3 linked regions of the Ovis aries genome follow. The protein of the gene in region 3 interacts with the protein of the main gene of each other region in a pairwise test. Links are inferred from orthologs where the notes say so. Each region holds a gene or a part of one and is shown on either strand. Other genes may lie near its edges.

Region 1 (5,690 bases), about 88 Mb from region 3:
ATCCTAAAGGAAATCAGTCCTGAATATTCACTGGAAGGACTGATGCGGAAGCTGAAACTCCAATACTTTGGCCACCTGATGCGAAGAACTGACTCATTGGAAAAGACCTGATGCTGGGAAAGAGTGAAGGCAGGAGGAGAAGGGGACAACAGAGGATGAGGTGGTTGGATGGCATCACCACTCAATGCACATGAGTTTGAGCAAGCTCCAGGAGTTGGTGATGGACAGGGAGGCCTGGTGTACTGCAGTCTCTGGAGTCGCAAAGAGTGGGACATGACTGAGTGACTGAACTATATGATCTAACTGCCAAGCACTCCAGGCCACTTGGACCAGCTGGTCCAATTGTTCTACCTTCCGTAGGAATGTCTACTTGGGTAATAAATTCAGAAGCGAGTGATCACTGTGGGCTTCACATGTGAAGTAGAGTGTCTGCCAGTTTAGAGCAGAGATGAGGAGGAAGGCATTTCAGGTTTGGAGAGGGAATCTTGGAAGTTAGGGAGTAAAAGGCAATTAGCTAGCTTGGCCAGGGAACTGAATTTATAGAGAAGAGGTAGTGATTTCCAGGTGATGAGACCATGCAAACAAAGTCATGGGCCAAGGAATGCTCTGCATGTGGGGAGAAGTGAAATGCCAAGCAGGAGGTGTACCAAGTCGGGTTTGGTTTACCAATAGTATGGTAATTTTTTTAAGACAGTATGGTAAATTTCTGAGTCACATCATGAGATCATAGGTATTCTGTGTCTTTTATATTATTCTGTAATATAATATTTTTACTTTTACCAATGAAAGTGAAAGTGAAAAGTGTCTAACTCATTGCGACCCCATGGCCTATACAGTCCATGGAATTCTCCAGGCCAGAATACTGGAGTGGGTAGCCTTTCCCTTTTCCAGGGAATCTTCCCAACCCAGGGATCAAATCCAGGTCTCCCTCATTGCAGGTGGATTCTTTACCAGCTGAGCTACAAGGAGCTACAAGAATACTGGAGTGGGTAGCCTATCCCTTCTCCAGCAGATCTTCCTGACCCAGAAATCAAACTGGGGTCTCCTGCATTGCAGGTGGATTCTTTACCAACTGAGTTACCCAGGAAGCCCACTCTTTTTTTCTTTACCACTTTTACCAATGATTAAGTTTAAATAAAATGTTAGTTATTAGGTGTGTGTATGTGATTTATGTGTATCCGATTTTGGGTCTGTGTGTATGTACCTTTTTTTTGTCTACAAGTTTTACTCTGCTTTTAACACTAAGGTAACTTCACCCAGTGTAGTTGATATATCCAAGCTTAAGAAAAAGCCACTTTAACCAAAGAAACAGTATCATTTGTTTGTTTGAGGAAACATAGCAATAACATGACACTGATTTTAAATGAACTTCTGCCTTATAAATAGGCTAGTTTGATTGGACAAAGCTTATTTGACTTCTTACATCCAAAAGATGTTTCCAAAGTAAAGGAACAACTTTCTTCCTCTGATATTTCACCCAGAGAGAAGCTAAGAGATGCCAAAGGTAAGTACTCATTTCAGCCTTCTTATCATTTTATGGAAATATAATTTTTACTTAAAAGTATAGCAATAGAGTTTTTTGAAAAGCTAGCTAATTATAGTTTTATCAAGGGGAGAATTATTTAATAACTTTGTAATCATCAACCTCAGTTTTTAAAATATCACTGTGTAGAGAATGCATGTATCAAAGTAAATATATGAAGATGTTTTTGGGAAAATGTGATTACTTCATATTCTCTAGCTTTCATATGCTAACAAAATCTTTATTGGAAAGTGCCATTTGGGATAAAAAAAGTTGCCGGAGTTTTTTTATTATTTAGTTCTTTGCGAAGGGATAACTATTCTCTTTCTCAAATGTGTTAGGTCTTCTCAATGTGAAACACCTTGTATAATTGTTCTTGGGAAGTATACATATTCTGTGTCTTTTCCAGAAATACTTCTTTTCTCTGAAACTGCTTATTGCGTAATAATTGTTTATTATATAAAATAATGATGTTTTATGCCACTGATACTATTTTAGTTAAGTTTTTTCATGTAATTTTTATTTCATTGAAGTTATCTTTACTATCTGCCCCCCTGGGAAAAAATATAAAGATAAATTGCAAATGATTATATTTCTTGGTGTGTTTCACTTTGGGGTTTACTGTACAATGATGTCAATAACCATAGATGACCAGAACACATGAGGAAATACATTTTGAAATTATTTGAAAACATTTTCTTCCTATTCTCTTGCCTCCTTGCACTATGAAAGCTGCTTTGCAAGTTCACAGTAATTTCCACACAAGTAAGAGTCATGTGTATTCTGGCTCAAGACGATCTTTTTTCTGTCGAATCAAGAGCTGCAAAATCTCTGTCAAAGAAGAGCACGAATACTTACCCAACTCAAAGAAGAAAGGTATCATCTTTTTTTTTTTTTTGAGAGATTACTCTAATTTTGTTGTTTATATAACTGCTTTAAAAATTTTTTTTCACATATTATAAAGTATTTTTTAAACTTTATTATTATTATTTATTTTACAATATTGTATTGGTTTTGCCATACATCAACATGAATCCAACATGGTGTACATGTGTTCCCAATTCTGAACCCATCACACACCTCCCTCCCCCCGCCATCCCTCTGGGTCATCCCAGCACACCAGCCCCAAGCATTCTGCATCCTGCATTGAACCTGGACTGGCGATTCATTTCTTATATGATATTATACATGTTTCAATGCCATCCTCCCAAATCATCCCACCCTCTCCCTCTCCCACAGAGTCCAAAAGACTGTTCTATACATCTGTGTCTCTTTTGCTGTCTCGCATACAGGGTTATCATTACCATCTTTCTAAATTCCATATATATGTGTTAGTATACCGTATTGGTGTTTTTCTTTCTGGCTTACTTCACTCTGTATAATCGGCTCCAGTTTCATCCACCTCATTAGAACTGATTCAAATGTATTCTTTTTAATGGCTGAGTAATACTCCATTGTGTATATGTACCACGGCTTTCTTATCCATTCGTCTGCTGATGGACATCTAGGTTGCTTCCACGTCCTGGCTATTATAAACAGTGCTGCGATGAACATTGGGGTACATGTGTCTCTTTCAATTCTGGTTTCTTCAGTGTGTATGCCCAGCAGTGGGATTGCTGGGTCATAAGGCAGTTCTATTTGCAATTTTTTAAGGAATCTCCACACTGTTCTCCATAGTGGCTCTACTAGTTTGCATTCCCACCAACAGTGTAAGAGAGTTCCCTTTTCTCCACACCCTCTCCAGCATTTATTGCTTGTAGACTTTTGGATAGCAACCATTCTGACTGGCATGAAATGGTACCTCATTGTGGTTTTGATTTGCATTTCTCTGATAATGAGTGATCTTGAGCATCTTTTCATGTGTTTGTTAGCTATCTGTATGTCTTCTTTGGAGAAATGTCTATTTAGTTCTTTGGCCCATTTTTTGATTGGGTCGTTTATTTTTCTGGAATTGAGCTGCAGGAGTTGCTTGTATATTTTTGAGATTAGTTGTTTGTCAGTTGCTTCATTTGCTGTTATTTTCTCCCATCCAAAGGCTGTCTTTTCACCCTGCTTATAGTTTCCTTTGTTGTGCAGAAGCTTTTAATTTTAATTAGGTCCCATTTGTTTATTTTTGCTTTTATTTCCAGTATTCTGGGAGGTAGGTCATAGAGGATCCTGCTGTGATTTATGTCGGAGAGTGAAATATCAAGTGATTTGATGCATGGATATAAAATTAATGTCCTAATATTTTCTATATTAAAAAATAAGTTGTATGGTCAAGGTAGGCTATGGTTTTTCCAGTATTCAGGTATGGATCTGAGTGTTGGACTTTAAAGAAAGCTGAGCACTGAAGAATTGATGCTTTTGAACTGTGGTGTTAGAGAAGACTCTTAAAAGTCCTTTGGACTGCAAAGAGATCCAATAAGTCCATCCTAAAGGAAATCAGTCCTGAATGTTCATTGGAAGGACTGATGTTGAAGCTGAAACTCCAATACTTTGGCCACGTGATGCAAAGAACTGACTCACTGGAAAAGACCCTGATGCTGGGAAAGATTGAAGGTGGGAGAAGGGGGCGATAGAGGATGAGATGGTTGGATGGCATCACTGACTCAATGGACATGAGTTTGGGTAAACTCCGGGAGTTCGTGATGGACAGGGAAGCCTGGCATGCTGCAGTCTATGGGGTTGCAAAGAGTCACACAACTGAGTGACTGAACTGAACTGTATGGTCAAGGCAAATACTGAGGTCAAAGGCATTCATTTATCCAATAATTATGGCTCTGGTGAATCAATTCCACGTTGAGTAGATCCAGTTGGAAATGAATCACCTAATCTACACAGCAATCCATATGAGAGAAAGCATGGCAGCCCATTCAGCCACCTCAACACAGCTGAAATCTCTGATGTTTGATGCAAGTCGTAACTTGAGTAGAGGCTAACACTGTCAAGATTTGTAAGTCTTTTAAGGATTGCCAAATTAGTTTATCTCTCCTTCTGGGAAAAGCAGATTCTCCACATGTACTTATTCAGTACTAATAAATATTTCAGTCATCTCTTTGTCATGGTGCATGGCTAGTGCCCAGTATAGCCATTTAACTTCTGTAAAACCGGATCTCACCCCCTGGCCAGCAGTTTACTCTTTGCTTCTAAACCTTGCAACTCCACAAGGTTGATTTTCAACCTGTCTCTTCTTTTTGAGAACCATTGCTTTAAACTCTAAGTATGAGATTCTCTGGGCTTCCCAGGTGGCTCAGCAGTAAAGAATTCGCCAGTAATGCAGGAGATGTGGTTTCAGTCTCTGGGTCAGGAAGATCCTCTGGAGTAGGAAATGGTAACCTACTCCTATCTTCTTGCCTGGAGAATCCCATGGGCAACAGAGCACGGTGGGCTACAGGCCATAGGGTAGCCAAGAGTCAGACATAACTGAAGCGACCTAGCACACATGCACACGTGGGCTGAATTGTGTCCCTGAAATTCATATGCTGAAGCCTGATGTGGTATTATTGAGGTAGGACCTTTGAGACATAATTAGATTTAGATGAAGTCTTGAGGGTGGGGCCCTCATGCTATATTTAGCACCCTTCTAAGAGGGGAACCCAGAAGATCTGTAGTCTGTGAGCATACAGTGAGATGATAGCTGTCTGCAAGCCAGAAGTCAACTATGCTGCCATCCTGATATCAGAACTCCAGGTTCCAGAACTGTGAGGAGTTAAATTTCTGTTAAGCCACTCAGCCTGTAGTGCTTATTATGGGGGGCCCAGCTGAGCAAGACAGCAAACAACTTGGATCATTTTCTCTATGGTAATTCTCCTAAGTATTTCTGAAAAGGCTCTGCAGTGGGAACCAAAGGAATCTGGGCTTTGCTGAAAATAAATGTATGTTTAGTAAATTGGCATATTACAGTTTATCTTGAAAAATGGAACTACAAGTCACAAATCGGTGGTAGGACTCTACCTTGTCTAGGCTTGTCCTATCTTTCACCTTGAATTTTCATTTCAGTTTTTGTCAAATTCTAGGACAGCACATGACTGAATATATACAGTTAGTCATTGACAATAGGGCTACCCTAGTACCTGAGGAGTAAAGAATCCACCTGCCAATGCAGGAGATGAGGGTTGGATCCCTAGATCTGGAAGAGCCCCTGGGGAAGGAAATGGCAATCCACTCTAGTATTCTTGCCTGGAGC
Region 2 (5,690 bases), on a different chromosome or scaffold from region 3:
TCTGTTTCTGCAGCTCTGTGATGTTAGTGCTCATCTATCTGCTGGAAAGCTCCTTGGGTGGTACACAAAGTAATAAAGTTGAGCCTCCTAGAGTTCCCTTTAGCTCTGACCTGTTCAGGTTTAGCCTTTTTAAAGGCACTACTTCTTAATCCCGACACTACTGACATTTTGGACTGAAAAATTCTCTCTCAGAGGTCAGGGGTTGGGAGGGCTGTCCTGCGTCCTGTAGAATGTTTAGCAAGCACCATCCCTGTCCTCTCTCCCCTGGATGTTTAGCAGTAATCTCCCACTCAGCTGTGACAACCAAAAACCGTCTCCAGACATCAACAGATCATCTCCGGCGGGGAGGGGGGGCAAAATACCGAAGCATGGAAAACACTGGTTTAAGGGAACAGTTAGGTGTTACTTGCCTGTGGATTTCCATGATTTCCTCAGCAATCATTCGACCTATTTTTCCTGCCCCAGCCCTGGTTCCCCCTGGAATCCCTGGAACAGTGGGGTGGATCCTCTTCGGGCCACCTACAACAGAGGAATCTGAGAGTCGGAAAGGGGAAAACTGAGGGAGAAGACCCTATTTCGTGTTGAATTAAAACAAGTTCTTCCCATGATCCATTGACGTTCAACCTTAGGGTTGTGCCTGAAGGACACTAGAGCCATGGCTTTTCAGGAAAGGGCATTCCAGCAGGAAAAAGCTCACGTTTCCTTCCAGGATCAGACATGTTGATATATAGCCTCTACTTACTCATGCACGCCACATACATTTACTGAACACCACTGTGCTGCAGGCCAGGGGCACAGAGATTAAGTCGGCATCCCTGCCCTCAAGGAGCTCACAGTCTAAGAGGGAGACACGTAAGACAGACAAGGGCTGGAGCACACTGTGATAACTTTGACAGGGCGGCACCAGGCATTCAGGGGGGCCAGGTGCAATTTCCTGGAAGAGATTAACTGAGCTGAGTCTTGTGAGAGGAGCACAAATCAGGGTGGCAGAGAGGAAAGGAAGGGAAAGCATTCCAGGCACAGCCACCAGTGCACACAAGAGCACTGAAGAGGGCACAGCTTGGGAGATGACACCAAGAAACTCAGTGCGATGACGACGGAGTGAGCGAGCGATGAAATGGAGAAGCAGATACCGGTCAGACCAGGAAGGGCCCTGGATGCCACCCTAACAGATCTGAGCCGTACCCACGGGGGATAACCAAAGGACTGCCTCAGATGGGGGTTACTGAGAGGTTCAGAGGAGCTGCACAGGAGCGAGCTGTAGTGGAGGACAGGGGCGCAGAGTGGGGAGCGTGCGACTAGGGCTGGGAAATTACCTGCAATAATCCAGGCAACAGATGGGGAAGGTGGTGATGGGGAGGTTTAAAGATAGAAGGGGCAGGATTTCGTGTTTCCATATAATGGGAGAGCGGTAGGAGTCATGGCTTCTGGCTTAACCAACCAGGTTGGGGGTTGGGGGCTGCTCTTGTACCGAAAACCGACGTGGACATGCTGAGTTATAGGTGCCTCCTTTGGGACTCCAGGAGGCAGCTGGAGGAACAGACCTGGAGGGACCGGATGTAGGATTCATCGATGAAGAGATGGGGACTGAAGCCATGCAAGCAGAGGCAGGCCCAGGAAGGAGTCAGGTGCCCAGGCGACGGCCCGGCACGGCTCACCCCGCGGTGCTGGCAACACCCCCCTCCCACCTCAGGAGCCAGTGGCCGTGACGGAAGAGCCCTTCACATCACAGCTGCTGGGCAACACAGTGGGAGGAAGGCACACACAGCCAGGAGCCGGCCATTTCATGGGCTTCCAGGGTCCAGGCAGCCTCAGGAAAGGCAAAACCAAGTTTCCAGCATTTCAAGCTCAACAGAGAAAGTGAGATGACAGCGTCCTTAGTGATCACTCCCGCGAGGGCCCCGCCTTGTTCCGCAGAATATGGTGGCTGGGGACCCCAAGCACTGGGGCAGGGGGTGGTGGCCACAAGCAGCTCCTCACAGGCAAGCCCCAGCCCCGGTGGCACATAGTTACCTTCTCCAGAGGGCAGCATGCTGTCCATGCTGTGGGGGGACGCTGTGAGCTGCGGGAAGCTGGGGTCCCCGCCTTCCAGGACGTTGGCTCTGTGAACATCCCAGCAACAAGGAAACGTGAGTCAGGCCCGCCCAGAACTGCGCACCTTTCACCTTGGCCAAGGTGTCCGGTGTCCACTCTGGACCTGGACAGGCCAGAAAACGAAGTGTCTGAGCGACTCAGTGCATCTCCTCGCTGTCAGAGGACACGGCAGACAGTGTCCGGGGCTCTGGCCTTCCTAGCGCACGCGGGGTGCGGTCCCGCGGGGGTGGTGATGCAGCGGCCACCGCCGCTGCCACGAGGCTCCTCTCCAGGCGGCCAGCAGGGCACCGACCGCAGCCCCTCAGTCAGCTCTACCTACGGGTGGGGGGTTGCACATCACCAGGAAGGAGATGCGGGGAGCAGCCGGCAGAGAGGGGCCTTCCCTTCCCTGCTCGCCCAGCAGCTGGCAGCCTTAGAGGCGGCATTCCGCAGCGGTGAGTGCTCAGGCCACCAGCCTGGGGAGCACAGATCCCCATCCCTCCTCCGCCAAGGACCGTATGGGCTGGTGAGCCTTTGAACTCAAAGGCTGGCTGCTTTGTCAGGAAGGAAAGGCTGCTGTCTCCGAGAGCCTTTCCAGCAGCTGGGGGCCTGAGAGTTCTGAGTACTGAAGCGTGTCCTTTGTTAGCCACCTTCTGGCTTCTGCCAGTCCTGAGGCTTCACAGGATATTAGCAAGATGACAGTAAAGGATGGGATACTGGCTGTTGCCTGTACCGCCTTTCCCAGGTAAGGGGCCCAAGGCATTCCTCCTTGAAGCAAGGGAGCTTCTGAAATAGGAGAGACACTTACAAAACAACGGTGTTCGTGGAGACAATGTATTCTACTTCCTTGGTCCAAGGGTTCATGAAACTGAACCACCGACTCCGCAGTGTGATGAAAGAACCATCTTTGATTTTAAACTTGTAGCAATTAGTGGTAATCTTTTCTCTTGTCTGTAAAACTGAAAATATAAAGAAACCAGGAACATTGCTGTTTCCTCAGAACAATGCATTAAAATAACCAAATCCTAAATGCGCTCAGGCTTCAAGGCCATCCCCTCTTTAATAAGCCATGGGAGGTGGCACTTCAGAGAAGAGGGTGTTTCTGAGGGCCTGATTTCTGAGCCTTCCAGTTGGGTTGTGAACCTGTCACTATTCAGAGTGTATGAAATAAAGGAAATAACAGTGCATTCTAGACATCTAGCTGGATTCATCTATGAAGTGAATGCCACACAAGGCGGCTCAGTCCACAGGGACCATGTAATCTCCCCATCATAAAGCCTGAGGACATCCGGATTCAGATGGCATCTCACCCATGGAAACCTCATTCTTTCATGTAACAAACATGTAGCAAGTATGCTTCATGTGCCAAGTACTGGAGATAAAAGAGGAGACAGGATATGACTTGCACCCTCAGGAGAGGAATGAGGGACAGCTACGCAGAGGAGATCAGAGCCTTCAGGGGTGAATACAAGTTTGCCAAAAGGAAGGAGGGAAGAACCCAGTGCTACCCGAGGAGTGGCAGGGCCTGGGGTGGGAGTGGGAACAGTGAGATGTCAGTGCGTCTGGAGGACAAGGCCTCTGCAGACAGGGACTGGGTCGGGAGGTGAAGCTGGGGAGGTGGCTCAGGGCCAGGACGTGGAGGGTCTTGAGCATCTGTCAAAGGTGACTGCGCAGGGGGTTTTGAGCACAGATGTGACTGTCAGGCTCAGTCTGTCAGAGCATAAGCGGGACAGCAATAGAAGATGGACTGGCGGGGCAGAGGCAAGTCCATCACAATTATCAGGTGGGTACCAGGGCTGCATCAGGGGCTTGGCAGAAAGGGGCCTCCTTGGAGATGCATGGCTGAGATGAATGAACAGTTCCGACGGAGGAAAGAGTAAAGAAGGGAGTCAATGTTGGCTGCTGTCTCAGGAGGCTATGTACGTGGCCACGTCATTAACCAAGAGGAAAATGCAGGAGGCGGTGCAGGGATTTGTAGGAAATTAGATCCGCTTGGGCCACACTAAATCTTTACATAGTCCAGGGAAACCCTCTGAACCAGAGGTGCCTTCCAGAAATTGCTCCAGCCCATGTAGAGATCTACTAGGCAGTCGGGGTGGGCGGTTATCTGGAAGGGGGTAGATGAGGCCTGGGGGAAGGAGCAGCACCCTCTCCTCCCAGACATTCTGGCCTGCAGGTCCCTGGGCTGGCTGACTCCCACCTCACAGGGGCAGATTTCTCTGCAAGGGTCCATGGACATGTCTAGAAGGAGGACACTTGAAACTTCAGAACTGGTGTACAGCCCAGCAGCTAACCTTGCCTATGACATTCTGCGAGATGTCCTATGTCATCTTGGTGGAAATACTCATAACACGACGTGCCTAGAAGTTCTTGTGGTAGATATGCCAAAATAGCTGTTGCCCTAAAAGGGAGAAAAAAAATTTTTTTTTAAATAAAATAACATTCAGACAATTAACAGATCTCTGCAGTGGATGACTCCTGCTACAGCCAATGAAAACAAGGTCAAAGCTGGGGGGGTTCAGAGGGCTTATTACATGGGTTTTGTTCTTTCTCATGAAGCTGACTTTAATCGGGGTTATAAAAACAGAGAGAGAAAGCAAAGACTTTCAAAGGGGCTGTTAGCACAAGACATCAAATTTTAGGTTTAAAAGTAGTAACTTTTAGATTAAAAAAAAGTGATAGGACTCTAAACTCCAGGTCAAAACTTCTCCAATTTACTGCCTGCTTTTTATCAGAGTGACCAGAAGCCCCAGTCGTGGGGCCCACAGGGACCTTGAGAAGCGGCTGCCTCCTTTTCTAGTATTTAGTGACTGGCTATTTCCAGTGGCCAGAAAAATTGCTAGCCTGTGGATACTTGTAAGGAAGCAGCAGAGAGCAGTGGAAATTTGGGTTCTTAGCCCAGGTCTACGGCCAATGAGTTACGAATCTCGGAGGGGGCTGGTCTTCAGGCTGAGCCTCTGTTCATCAGCCATAAAGAATGAGACCAGACTAGATCAGTGTTGTCCAGCAGAACTTTTTGTGAAGACAGAAATGTTCTGTTCAGGTACCATTAGCCACTGTTGCTGCTGTTTAGTCGCTAAGTTGTATCCAATCCTTTGTGATCCCATGGACTGCAGCCTACCAGGCTCCTCCGTCTATGGGATTTCTCAGGCAAGAATACTGGAGTGGGGTGCCATTCCCCTCTCCAGGGGATCCTCCTGACCCATGGATTGAACCTGCATCTCCTGCCCTGGCAGGCAGATTCTTTATAGCTGAGCCACCAGGGAAGCCACATGTGACTACTGATACTTGAAATGTGGTTAGTGAGCTGGGGGAATTTAAATTCACATTTTAACTTTAATTGATTAAATATATGGGGTTACTATAGCCAATGACTACTGTATTGATAGCTCAAGACCAGATAATCTTTTCAAAGTCCCACATCCCAGAACTCACATTACAGTAATTAATGGAACACTCCATAGATTCAGATAGCATGTTATGCCTATTATTTCTCTCTTAGCCACGGACATCAAGCCACCCCACTTCACTGTCTCTACCTGCCCAAGAATGACATGGAGAAAATTTCTGTATTTATGATGATAACCCACTAGGTCTCATTTTTCAGCAGATCCACC
Region 3 (5,317 bases):
ATGTCATGCTTACAGAAGTATGCTGTTGTTTGTACTATTGCACATAGGCGTTGTATGAAGTTCATACGTGTGTATCCAAAAAGCCACACATGCCATTACTCTGGAAGACTCAGATTTGTTGTTTGTCTTGGTTACTAATGGCTGACTTTAAAACCTCTAGGCTTCACATAAAGTGAAGGGAGAAACAGGCAATTTTTTTACTGAACACCCACATTTTACCAGATAATTCAGCCAGAGTCCAACATATCATGGCCTAGCAACTTCTCACAGTTGGCCATTTCACCATATTGCGATATACCATTGTATAAACAATGGTATAAACAAACAAACAAAACCCTAATTTAATGGGCATTAGTTGCTGTTAGAGACAAGATACTACATTTTAGTGGAGTTAGTTTAAAATATTCTTAAGCTTGGTATATTTCAGAGTTCATATTTCAGTCACTTCTCATGAGCCAAGATTTTATAGTTTCTAAATAGAAAAGTCATGACAAGTTTGCAAAACAGTCTTTAAATCAGCACAATTAAATGAATCAAAAGTTTAAGGATTAAACTTCCCCTGATGTTATGTGGGTTTAAAGAAATGTACTCAATAAGAGTTTTCTGAGTTTACCCAGACTGTGAACATGTGTAAAGTTTAAGCAATACTAAATTAATTTAGCAGCATGACATAGTCCACCCTCTTCTAATGGCTTCCAGCTGGAAAATCCTAGCACAACAAATATGCTGTTTCCGTTAAAAATTTGTTCTATTTAGAAGTGCAGATTCTGACAGCCAATTAAAATTCAAATTCTTTTACAGAAATATGAGATCTGGAAACCTTTGAATTTACCAAACAGTTAAATTACAAAATAGGTTATCTAGTGTCACACAGAATTTTTGTTTTAAAAAGGGCCCATTTTGGATTCCTGAGAGTAAATGATCCTAAGATATGCAAAATATTTAGACTTACCTTTTTTTCATGTAATTCATATCACAATTGTGTGTGTGAATAATTAAAACTCCTTTTGATGTATTTACGTGGCAGCCTCTTAGGCCGCTGAAAACTGATCCTGGCCAGAGAATGGAGAGAGGTTTTCTCTCTTTTACAGGGAGGCAGGTAGAAACACAGAGCCCCAGTGACGGAACAAGCAGGGGAACTTGGTTCTCTCTGACCGCGCTCTGCTGAGTGTTGCCATCTCAGTGATTCTCAGTCTCAGTGTGCCAGCGCACCCTCACGCCAGCGTGCTGAAGCCTCATGGAAAAGGGGGTGCCGTCTGCTGTATCTCCCCTATCCACATGGCGTGTGCACAGGTCTCCCATACAGACACACAAACCCTGGGTGCATCACTGCTGCGTAAGTGCTGGCAAGCAAGAGGCCATGCAACCCTAGCCCAGGTGAGTTTACTTATGGGCTATACCTGCTTCTGTGGATAATGGCTTGGTCATCTCTATGGATTACCCATGTCTCTTAAGTTAGAGATATTTCCAGGAACTTTTTCTGGTTTTGTCATTTTGTTTTGCTATCATTTCTAAAAGAACCATTGATTTCTTCTGGCACAGTCTTTAAAATAAAGATCAGGATCCCAATAGGCTGAGAGGCATGTGAGCTCAAAAAACCTAAGGCCATTACCCAGATTGTTGGTTGCTCGCTCCCACCTTTTCTGCATTTTTGATTATCCTTAGAAACGTGTTGAAATTAAAAAAAAGTTTACTGACGAAGAGAGGTATGAATGCATCAAGAACAAGGTACAGAAACTGCCTCAAAAGGAAATTATACAAATTTGTTAATTTATTACAAAATGTCCACTCACAGAAATACACAAGAAAACTTTTATCCTTTTATATTTTGGGAAAGGAACTGGTGTCTCAGATACAAAATAATTTACACAGAATCCATACAATTTTATTTTATATAGAAATAGTTCCTTATTACAACGGCTGTACAATTCACTACACTTCGTCTTATAATTACATAAAATCTTCTCTTTAGAAACATCTCAACAAAACATACAAAAAAAGCAAAGTGCATTTTTGAAAAGGAAAATCCACTCCTGGGTCTTGGTCAGGAAAGATGTGTAGAAAGCTGCGGCACCCTCACGCTGAGGGCCAGCATGGGGGGAGGGGGGTTTCCTGGGGTCCTGCCTGGCCTGTAAAACCTTCCCTTTCACAGTCCTCGAGTCCTGTCGAAATCCCAGAACGTCACCTGCAGAATTAATTGTACTCTGCCTTGAGTCCATGTTTGTAGTCGCAATCACCGGGAAGTCAACAGAAAACAGTCCAGTGTTACATTCAGGATAAGAAAAAAAAAAAAGCTGATCACCAGAACGGTGTGGGGAGAAGAGTCTCATTCCATTAGGGTTTAGGCGGGAGGGTGGGAGGTGAGGGGCTGCAGTCTGGTTAATAATGCCCAGCTTTGCTTTCTGATTGGTGGGCTGTTTTTGTTACTGGGGTCTCCGCGTGAAGTCAGGAGACTTGATTTAAAAAAAAAAGGAAAGTGCCTAAGTTATCTCCTTGTGCAGCTGTGCAAATTAAGACAGAAACGATCATCTAAAAATAATGAGAGAAAAAAAAATCATCTCTTCTTTCCTTTCAAGACATCGCTGACCGGGTGCTTCTCCGAGGAAAGAGGGTCAGGAGAGTGAAGGCCAATGAGCCCATGGGCACGTGGCGCAGACTGGTCCACGCTGGGGGGAGGGGCGATCCAGCAGAGACGCTCCGTGTCTAAGCTGAACAGAGTGATGCACTGATGCGCTCCGCTGGGGACCGCGGACGGTCTGTCTGGGTATGGTTGTAGACTGTGGCTGTGAAGCACAGGGAAAGGAGAAACAGGGCCAGCTTCCCTGCTCACTCATGTCCACGCTGGCCGCCGCCCTCGGACATGGTCACCACCCAGGAGCTCTGAAATGGATGCGGCGTGCACGGAAGTTGGGGTGTCCTTTCAACTCTTCTCCCCAACTCCTTGGCCACCTGCCCCCTCGTCCGTCCATTGGTTAAAGCTGATGTGACCCAACCAAGGTGCCCAGCCACTACCGAGGCGGCTGCTGGAAGCCTGAGGACTCAGACAGGCTGCTGACCCTTCGGGCTGGGCGCGCGGGCCCCGGTGTTGGGTAGCCCAGGGTCCCTGGCTGTTGCGAGTAGGTGGAGAGAAGGAGGGAGTCCTGCTGCTCACTGTGCAGAGAGGTTGGCACCTGCACCTGGAAAGAAAGGAACCAGCTCCAGGAAGGTTCTGGGGTTCAGGGACTCCTTCCCTAAATGGCTGGGGCGGTGATGTAGTCCTCCTCAGACTGAAGGGTCCTCCTCCCCTGCCTGAAGACCTGGGGGAAAGGAAGCCCAGCTCTCCGGCCAGCACTAGGGGTTCCTCCTGGCCCGGTGGCCGGGGGCCTAGGCTGCAGGAAATGGTTTCTTGAGCACATGTACAGGAGCCCCCGCTAGCCTGTGTGGTATTGGATACTGGAACCTGACACCACATGTACGTCATTGCCCGCGCAGCATCCAAACAGGCCTGTAGTCCACATACTCTTCACTGGTGGTCCCAATTTCCAGAATCACTTCCAAATACTGCCATCTGCCAGGAAGCATCCTAATTTGAAGCTCAGAAACTCACTGGGTTTTCCTGGTGCCTCAAATGGTCAAGAATCTACCTGCAGTGCAGGAGACCTGGGTTCAATCCCTGGGTTGGGAAGATCCCCTGGAGAAGGGCATGGCAACCCAGTCCAGTATCCTTGCAGCCTGGAGAATCCCATGGACCGAGGAGCCTGGGGTGGGGGCTACAGTCCACAGAGCCTCAAAGAGTCAGACACGACTGAACAACCGACGCAACAACTTCAACTGGTCAGACATTAACTCTGGAACCTTCAGTCTCACCCCGCACTATTCCCAGCCATGAAATCGCCCCTCCAAGGAACCTGGTCCACTCTGTTTCCAAAGCTGTGCAAGGCACATCTGCCCGTCTACCTCGGCTCAGGCTGCCTCTGTTGTTGAAACGTTGTCCCCCCACACCTCACACTCAGCCATCCACACTTGGAGTGTTTCCGTCCCCACGCCTCGTCCTTTTCTGACCTTGGCTCCCCAGCCCCAGTGCTCCATTGACACTGACCCAGGCCTGGCAGCTCTCTGTGACGTCGCCTGTCCCCCTGCGCTCAGGGTCCCTGAGTGCTCCTTGCATCCTTAGCCCTGCATCTGGGTGGAACAGGCACGTGCAAGCACGCTGGTGGCTCCCAATGAAGGAACAGATAGATGGGCAGCCTCTAGCTTTTCCCCTGACTTCTCCCTGCCTTCTCCCCTCATCAGTTCCCGTCCCAGATCACTCCAGGGTCCTGCAAGCTGACCAGGGAGCAAAGCTGAGGTCCAGAGTTAACTCCCACTAAGATGTGGTGTTGGAGAAGGCAATGGCACCCCACGCCAGTACTCTTGCCTGGAAAATCCCATGGATGGAGGAGCCTGCTAGGCTGCAGTCCATGGGGTCACTAAGAGTCAGACACGACTGAATTACTTCACTTTCACTTTTCACTTTCATGCATTGGAGAAGGAAATGGCAACCCACTCCAGTGTTCTTGCCTGGAGAATCCCAGGGATGGGGGAGCCTGGTGAGCTGCCATCTATAGGGTCGCATAGAGTCGGACAGGACTGAAGTGACTTAGCAGCAGCAGCAAGAGGTGGTGTCAGGGAGATCTGAAAACTACGCCACAGCTGGTTTAGCCGCCTTGAAATTCAATCACAATCTAGAATTCGAGGAGGACTCTGCGTCTTGGTCACCCTGCACATTCACCTATGGCTTCGAGGAAGCCCAAGCGGGGCAGGTGGGGGTGGGGGAGCAAAAGCTACACTGTGCCTTGTGGTAGGGGCTTGAGGCTGTGGGGGAGGCCCCGTTGGACAGGAAGCGGCACATGGGCATGTGTGGGAGGGAAGGCCAGACCCTGAGCAGACACTTCTCTGAACCCCCAGCCACTGGCTCACACCCCTTCCTTCCAGTGCATGTGGTACTTGCTTAAAGTAAGAAGTGACCACAAGATTACCGACATACAATGGAGTATTCCTCAGCCATTAAAAAGAATGCAGTAATGCCATTTGCAGCAACATGGATGGACCTAGAGATTGTCAACCTGAGTGAAGTCAGTCAGAGAAGGAGAAATATTGTATGACATCTGTTATAGGTGGAATCTAACAAGAAATGATACAAATTAACTTATTTACAAAACAGAAACAGACTCACAGACTTGAAAGAGAAGGAACTTATGGTCCCCAGGGCAGGTGAAGGGAGAGAAGGGATAGTTAGGGAGTTAAGGATGGACATGTACACATTGCTCCATTTAAAATGGATATCCAACAAGGTCCT

Evidence for each region.
Region 1: the proteins of NPAS2 (region 3) and BMAL2 interact in binary tests that used the Homo sapiens proteins (3 or more experiments, as listed by UniProt). The link is inferred for Ovis aries from reciprocal best matches to the Homo sapiens genes NPAS2 and BMAL2.
Region 2: the proteins of NPAS2 (region 3) and BMAL1 interact in binary tests that used the Homo sapiens proteins (3 or more experiments, as listed by UniProt). The link is inferred for Ovis aries from reciprocal best matches to the Homo sapiens genes NPAS2 and BMAL1.

The regions. Positions count from the first base shown.
Region 1 is NC_056056.1:188,081,773-188,087,462, reverse strand, and holds part of BMAL2 (basic helix-loop-helix ARNT-like protein 2), read left to right. Parts: intron 1-1,386; coding exon 1,387-1,504; intron 1,505-2,254; coding exon 2,255-2,398; intron 2,399-5,690. UniProt on the Homo sapiens protein: Transcriptional activator which forms a core component of the circadian clock.
Region 2 is NC_056068.1:39,061,560-39,067,249, forward strand, and holds part of BMAL1 (basic helix-loop-helix ARNT-like protein 1), read right to left. Parts: intron 4,475-5,690; coding exon 4,368-4,474; intron 3,033-4,367; coding exon 2,882-3,032; intron 2,103-2,881; coding exon 2,014-2,102; intron 520-2,013; coding exon 411-519; intron 1-410. UniProt on the Homo sapiens protein: Transcriptional activator which forms a core component of the circadian clock.
Region 3 is NC_056056.1:100,483,924-100,489,240, forward strand, and holds the end of NPAS2 (neuronal PAS domain-containing protein 2), read right to left. Parts: intron 3,177-5,317; coding exon 3,009-3,176; 3' UTR 1,754-3,008; downstream 1-1,753. UniProt on the Homo sapiens protein: Transcriptional activator which forms a core component of the circadian clock.